2 linked regions of the Sus scrofa genome follow. The protein of the gene in region 2 interacts with the protein of the main gene of each other region in a pairwise test. Links are inferred from orthologs where the notes say so. Each region holds a gene or a part of one and is shown on either strand. Other genes may lie near its edges. The genes, in order: HAAO and GAD1.

Region 1 (2,696 bases), on a different chromosome or scaffold from region 2:
GCAACGCCAGATCCTTAACCCACTGAATGAGGCCAAGGATCAAACCTGCATCCTCATGGATGCTAGTCACATTCGTTTCTGCTGAGCCATGATGGAAATGCCTGGCATCCATGATTCCAAAAGGAGACGGACTCCCTCATCTGGGGGGTGGGGGGTATCTTCTGTTATCTTCTGCATGTTGGTTCCTTCTGGTCCCGTGTGCCTGGAGTGCCTGCAGGCAGGAGGAGGTGCAGCTGCATATCTGGATCAGGCTTAGCCTCAGCTGCTTCTTTTGGAAAAACACTTGTCACTGATGCTCTCTATGCTTCTAAGACTGTCTCGGGTCTGTCCTGCTTCTGCCACTTACAGGCTGTGTAACCCCTGCCAAGCTGCCCAGCTTATTTCTGAGCCTCAGAGCTCTAGCTACAAGCTTTGGGAACCAGGAAGCATGGGGTCGGTTGCCCTCCCACGATCGGGCGGCACAGGGAGAGCCAGGTGTGGGTAAGCACGCAGTGGCCACTAGGTTGCGCTAAGGGTCAGCTGTGCAGGGCCAGCAGGGGCCCTGACATCCACAAGCACATCCAGGCCTGAGGGAGGCTGCCCTGAGTCTGCCCAGATGGGGAGCTGGGTGCTCGTCCTTTGTTCTGGCAGGTACTACATCGGGGACACTACGGATGTCCTGTTTGAGAAGTGGTTCTACTGCGAGGACCTCGGCACACAGTTGGCCCCCATCATCCAAGAGTGAGCCCCCAGCCCAGCCCTACCCCTTGCTTTCCTGAGGCGCCACACTCTGACCCAGAGAGCAGACCCAGCTCAGCAGTGCTTCAAGGCAGCAGCTGCCAGCCCGAAGCCATCACACCCAGGATTAAGGGAGAAAGTCTACCACTCTGGGGGGGGGGGGGGGGGTGGAAGCCTGGAAGGAAGGGCTGGCAGATATACAGCCAATCCTGTGAGGACCCCGTGGGTGTGTTATGGGCTAGAATATATGAGTGTGTGTGTGTGTGTGTGTGTGTGTTCCTTTGTGCCTCACTAGCCTCTCCTCCTCCCCATTTGTCCCTGTAGGTTCTTCAGCTCTGAGCAGCACAGAACAGGAAAGCCCAACCCTGGTGAGGCCACTGGAACCACCCTCCCTCTCCCTCCCTCTTTTCCAGAGAAGGGTGGGTCTTGGCCCAGGGTACCGAGGAGTCTCCTTTGAAGTCCTCTGTCCAGTACTCAAGGCACAAGAAGATGGCACCAAATAGTGCCCCCACATGGCTGCTCCGTCCCAGAGCCCATTCCCACAATCGGGAGCTGGGACCCCTGGGAACTGGGCCCCCTGGGGTTGGGGGTCGGGGCCAGAGGACACTGACGGCAGCTGTGCTGTGGGTGCAGACCAGCTGCTCAAGGAACCGCCATTCCCCCTGAGCACACGGTCCGTCATGGAGCCCATGTCCCTGGAGGCCTGGCTGGCTGGCCACCGCAAGGAACTGCAGGCGGGCACACCACTCAGCCTGTTTGGGGACACCTATGAGACCCAGGTAATGCAGCCCTGGGCCACACAGGAACTAATCACATGGAGACACACGCACGCACACGCACACGCCAGTTTTGGAGATTGTAGACACAAGAACAGGCCTTCCTATTTCCTCCCTGATTCAGAGAATGAATGGCTTTGCTGTGAGTGGAAGCCCCTGGAGGCTACCTGGCCCCCAGCGATCTTTCTTTGCCTTCAGAGTGGGGGTTGCCCCATCCACAGATAGGTTCCTGGGGGTTAGGAGTCACCCCCCTGCCAGGACTTCTTGGGCCTTTGGCTAATCATAGCCTTAGAAAGAGATATTTGGGGGTGAGGGTTGGGTGGAAAATCACACAGAGACCCAAAACAAGCTGGCCTCCTTTCATTCCACAGTTAGTGAGTGCCTATTATGTTACAGGCTTTGGTAGCAAAATACGGTAGAGTCACTGCCTCAGAATGTACAGTGTGGTAAATGGACAAGTTAATCAGCAGCTGCCACAATCATGTGATAACGTTCTTTGGTAGAGAAACTACAGGAAGCCACTGGAGGATAGAGGAACCCAGCTGTGAGGAAAGTCAGGGAAGGCTTCCTGGAAGAGGCGATGTATGAGCTGAGTTTTAAAGCTCTTGTAGGAGTTTGCAAAGGGAAGAAAGAGAGAGAAAGCATTTTAGGTGAAGGAAAAGCCTGAGCAAAGGCCCACAGGCTTGAAACAGACTGACAATACAAATAGCTGAGGTTGGGAAACCAGAACAGGGGCAATGAGGCAGTGAGGGCAATGGCTAGATGGCCACAGTAGCAGACAGTGCCCAGGGGCTGGCAGCTCTCCTGGGCTGGATGAGGTGCAAGGGCTTATCCTTAAGACAGGAGTGCTTCACCCAAGTGACCAGGCTAGAGTGGTGCCTCACTGTAGCCCATGTGAGGACTGGATTAGGAGGGCCAGGGCCAATGTGGTGATGAGGAGACTCGCTCAGGGCTCAGTTCACCTGCAGTTTGCAGTTTGAGTTAGAGGCCCCAACGGAGGCGTGCTCACGGGATGCAGACCAGCCCCAAGAGGCCCTCACACCCCAGAGCTTACGCAGGGCTGTGAGAGCTGGCGGACCCACCCAGCAAGTCCCTCCCACCCCATGGCCCTGCCTGCCTCTTTTTCACACCCCTCCTCCTCCCTGCTTCCGTTTACTCCAGAAATATCTACTGAGTCCCACAGGCTCTGGGCCTGTGGAAGCG
Region 2 (4,359 bases):
TGCAAGGCCGCAGATGTATCCATAAATAACCCCTGCCTGCCGCACCGCGAAAGGAAAAAAAATTTTTTTTTACTGTGAAAATGAGTAAAGGAATCACTGGTTACACGGTGTCATCCAGACACAAAAATCGACTTTGGCCCTAAAGAAGAAGAAACTGAGGTAGAGCAAAGAGGAGAAGATAAATTAGAGACGAGAGGATGGATAGCTTGAAAAGGCCGGAGACTAACAGCCAGGCTAGCCCCTCCAGGTGTTGACTGTGGCACAGGAGAAAAGACCCGGCTAGCATAGGGCTCTCGGTCTCTGGCCTCCTGGCGCCATCTGGTGGAAAATGTTCCGTGAAAGCCTTTTTACAGTGAGGGGCTTTCCGAAAGCGGTAGTTCTTAAATATGTTTAAATATTGCAAAAGGAGAATCCTTAAAAATCGAAAGGGGGAGTGGAGAGAATTGGGCCTGAGCAGAGAGGGCCGGTCCGCTTCCCCTATCCCCGCCCCCGGGCCACCTCTCTGCTTGGGTTCCCCTTGTGTGTGGAGCTGCGCTCGTGCGTGTTATTAACCTTCAGATGTGATCAATCAGGAGGACTCCTTTCCCCATCACCAAGGGAACCAAAGCTAGGAGGGCGTGCCTAGTGGGTTGGAAACAGGACCCTTTTCTCTGCCAGTGGCACTGGGTAGCTGTGCTCAAGTCAAGTATTTCGAAAGGCTCTAACCTAGATGAGGAAACTGAAGTGAAAAGGAAACGTAGAGTCCTTTAGGGTCTGAGTGTTCCCCCCTCATCCCTGCCTCCTTCGCTTTTACAACAATCCTGGCTCCGTAAGTGAGCCAGCAAAGACACGACCCAGAGCGCTCTTTCGTTCAGGGAGGCATCGTGGGGTCGCAGAGCTGGGGAAACCTCAGGGGAAGAAATTGAGGCAAAGCAACTGCTCTTTTCTTCTCCAAGATATGGGAGTGGAGAAGAGCAAAAGGAGGGAGGAGCGCTCAGCGAGGCAGAATTATCTTTTCCGTCTCTTTACCCGATACTCTGCCTATTTCAAAAAACAGAGCGTGTTGAGTACGTTCTGGATTACTCATAAGGCTTTTTCTTTTCTTTTCTTTTCTTTTTTTTTTCCGGCGCAAACCCGTGATTTGGATTTATAATCGCCCTCTAAAGCTCCAGAGGCAGCAGGCACCTGCAAGGAGCCCCGCCGCTCTGCCGACGAGCTGCCCCCGCGAGCAGCGGCCTCGTGATTCCCCCGCCGAGCCGGCCCCCGCCTCCCCACTCCGCCCCCGCCTCCCCTGAAGCCCAGCAGCCGCCTCTCCGGATCGCTCTCTTCTCTTACTGGCGCTCGCGTGCGGGACGGTGCTACCAGGAGAGAGGCGGCAGCTGGAGGTGACGCCGGGCAGACTACGCCTGTGGCAGGGCCGGGCCCAAGCCAGGCAGATTGCTGGGCGCTACGCCGAAGAGCGACCGGAGCGCCCGGCTTGCTGTCGCCCAGCCTAGGTGGGTAAGCGCGCGGCCGCCGAATCTTCCCAGTGACTAGCCCGACTGTTCAGCTGGGTCCTCTTCACCCGCGCACGGTTTCTTGACCAGCCCCCACCTCCAGTGTCTGCCATCTGCCCTCCCGAGCAGAGTGCATCCTGCCTGCCCCAGTCCCGGCTCTCTGTTCTTGCGCAGCCCAGAGACCCCAGCCTTCGCAATCATCCTGTCCCCACCAGCGAGATTCATGCCCCGGGGACGCACAGAGGCTGAGGCTCGCACAGAAGTGGAGCGAGAGCGATTTTCCCCTCTGCTTCCCGGCTGCGAGCGCCGGTCTCACCAATGGGCTCCAGGCCAGCAGCAGCGGAAGGCGCGACTCCGAGCGGTAACCTGTTACTTCCCCAGATGCCGCGGTCTACCCGCTGCCCGGGTTGCAGTGCGAGTGCGCGCGTTGCGTTAGATGTGGGGTCCTTTGGAGGGTGTGGAAGCGGTGGCCAGCAGGCGCTACTCTGAAGCTCTTAGATCTACCCATATTCACTCGCACTCTGTCCCCTGGCCTTTGGCAGCCATCGCGCCAGCGTGGAGCGCAGAGCAGAGGCGTCGCGCACAGATCCCTGTCTACCGCCTCCAGCGCTCTGGGCGCAAGTTCGTTTCCCCAGTGACGTTCTCCTTTCTTGCCTCCCTCACCCTCTCCGGGTCTGTAGAGCGAGAAATCCGGGGACCTCAGAGACTTGGGTGGAGGAGAAATACAGAAAGCCAAACCGACCCTGTTCTTGGCTTCGAGATGGCTCAAAGCAGGGTGAGGCAAGAGGGGGGCAAGAGGGAGACAAGCAAGGTTCCTACTCGCTGCTTTCTGGCTGTCTGGACTACAAGGTGACTGTATTTCTTACCTGGCCAAGTCCGAGGGAGAACGTAAAGATACGGACCCTTTTTTCCTCTCACCTTGTCTCACCAAAGTCCCCGGTCCCCGCAGCAGTTAGCCTCCTTCTTTCCAGGGAATTAGCCAGACACAACAACGGGAACCAGACACCGAACCAGACGTGCCCGCCCCGTGCGCCATCCCCACCCCCCAACCTCCCCGCCTTCTCTCCGCGTGCTGCTGAAAGCCCAATAAGGCTTGTCGTGGCTAGGCTGGAAAATCGCGCTCTGAGCCTTCCTAGCCCTCCTAGCCGAGTCCCCCGCACCACCACCACCACCCCCGCCCCCGAGACCCGCACTGGCCTTGGGTTCCCCTCCAGGTCGCCCAGCCGCGCAGCCAGACTGGAGAGCCGCCCGGGGCTACGTTGTCCGCGCCCTAGTGTGTCCGAGCTAGCGCGCACTCCTCCCCTCCCCGTCCCCAGCCCAGCGCACCCTGACCTAGCCACAGGGGTAGCTGCCCTTCCTGTCGCCTCTTTCTCCTCAGCCTGGACTTCAGCAGGAGCGTCCGCGCCTCCCACGGCTCAGTCGCCTCCCGCTCACCGGACCCCGGAAGCCCTCCCCGCACAGCTTTCGCTTCTCTTTGCAGCCTGCTCCTGCACCCGACCGGCCGAGGACCCCGGACAGCAGAGGCCCTGGGACGACCGAGCTGATGGCGTCTTCGACCCCTTCTTCGTCCGCAACCTCCTCGAACGCGGGACCGGACCCCAATACTACCAACCTGCGCCCCACAAGTAGGTCCTGCCCCAGTTTCCTATGAAATGGACTGCGGGGAAGATGGGGGCGCTGGGACGTGAGGAGGCTGCGCCGGCGGAAAGGAAGGGAGAGCGCGGAGATGATGGAGGCTGAAAAGAAATGGGGCCCTGAGCCAGGTCCCCACCGGCCGTCGTCGTTAGACTGTCAGGAATGCTAGTCAGTTCCAGGGTGCTAAGAGAATGGGGAACCACGCAGGGTTCAAGCGGCGGTGATCCATGAGGCTCCGCTGCGAGGAGAAGGACGCGCGGAGAGTGTTGTTTTGTTGTGTAGTGTGTGATTTCTTTGCTAGGCGAGACGACGAGGGTCAGTGCACTCGGGTGGTGTGAGAAGCCAGGAGGCTCAACGGGAATAGAGAGTGTTTTTGTTTAGTGTGTGGTTTCTTTGCTAGGTGAGACGACGAGGGTCGGTGCACTGGGGTGGTGTGAGGAGCAGGGAGGCTCAATGGGAATACAGAGTTTTCTGTCGCCAGCTTTCGTTGATGCCTCCCTCCTCCTCCTCTCTCCCCTGCGTTGTGCTCGAAGTCTATAATCAGCGGAAATTTCGACGTTAATTGCAGCTTTTAGAAAACTCGGGGTCCCTAATTGCTCCAAATTTGCGTCGAGCTATTGACTGGTGAGGGAAAAGCCAGGGGCGAGAAAGGAGCATAAAATGGTTTGAGATTAAGCCTCGACATTTTAGACAATTAATTACATTTCAGAGACACACACAGAAAAGGAGCGGGCAGCATCCTGAGTGGCAAGAAGTAGGGGACCAGGAGGAGATCAGAAGGTTTGCCAGGGCAGGAGGAGAGAGCAATGCTTTCTTTGCTCTGGGGCAGAAGACTTGTCAACAATTGACATGTCCAGAAGAGAGAAGAAAAGGAGAACCTGATTAAAAAGGGGTGGGGAGATTTTTGCTTCCCCACCCTTAGCTCTGTGCAGCTCCTCAACCCGTATCCAGGATATCTTTAGTTCAGATTGATTTCCTACCTCTTCGTAGAGGCGCGGAGATGGGGGCGTTGTTTTCCTTTTTCCAATTTGAATGAAATGCGCTCCTCCATATATATGGCTCCGGACAGTAATGGCCCCAGAATTTCTATATAAAAAGACCTTTAGGGATGGCTGTGTGGTTAGAAGGAGGGCTTATTGCTTTGCTTTTATGGCACTTCCTATAAGCTTGAGAAAATGTCAATTGTTCCCATCAACGAAGGGGAGGGGGGTGTTACTGGGTAAGCACTCTGTCCAACCCCTAGGTGCTG

What was found.
Region 1: the proteins of GAD1 (region 2) and HAAO interact in a two-hybrid assay, tested with the Homo sapiens proteins (4 studies listed by BioGRID and IntAct). The two-hybrid records come from large-scale screens. The link is inferred for Sus scrofa from reciprocal best matches to the Homo sapiens genes GAD1 and HAAO.

The regions. Positions count from the first base shown.
Region 1 is NC_010445.4:97,590,515-97,593,210, forward strand, and holds part of HAAO (3-hydroxyanthranilate 3,4-dioxygenase), read left to right. Parts: intron 1-630; coding exon 631-720; intron 721-1,041; coding exon 1,042-1,085; intron 1,086-1,350; coding exon 1,351-1,496; intron 1,497-2,696. UniProt on the Homo sapiens protein: Catalyzes the oxidative ring opening of 3-hydroxyanthranilate to 2-amino-3-carboxymuconate semialdehyde, which spontaneously cyclizes to quinolinate.
Region 2 is NC_010457.5:76,990,552-76,994,910, forward strand, and holds the start of GAD1 (glutamate decarboxylase 1), read left to right. Parts: upstream 1-1,311; 5' UTR 1,312-1,475; intron 1,476-1,649; exon of another isoform or gene 1,650-1,698; coding exon of another isoform or gene 1,699-1,836; intron 1,837-2,096; exon of another isoform or gene 2,097-2,235; coding exon of another isoform or gene 2,236-2,250; intron 2,251-2,955; coding exon of another isoform or gene 2,956-3,018; coding exon 3,019-3,100; intron 3,101-4,359.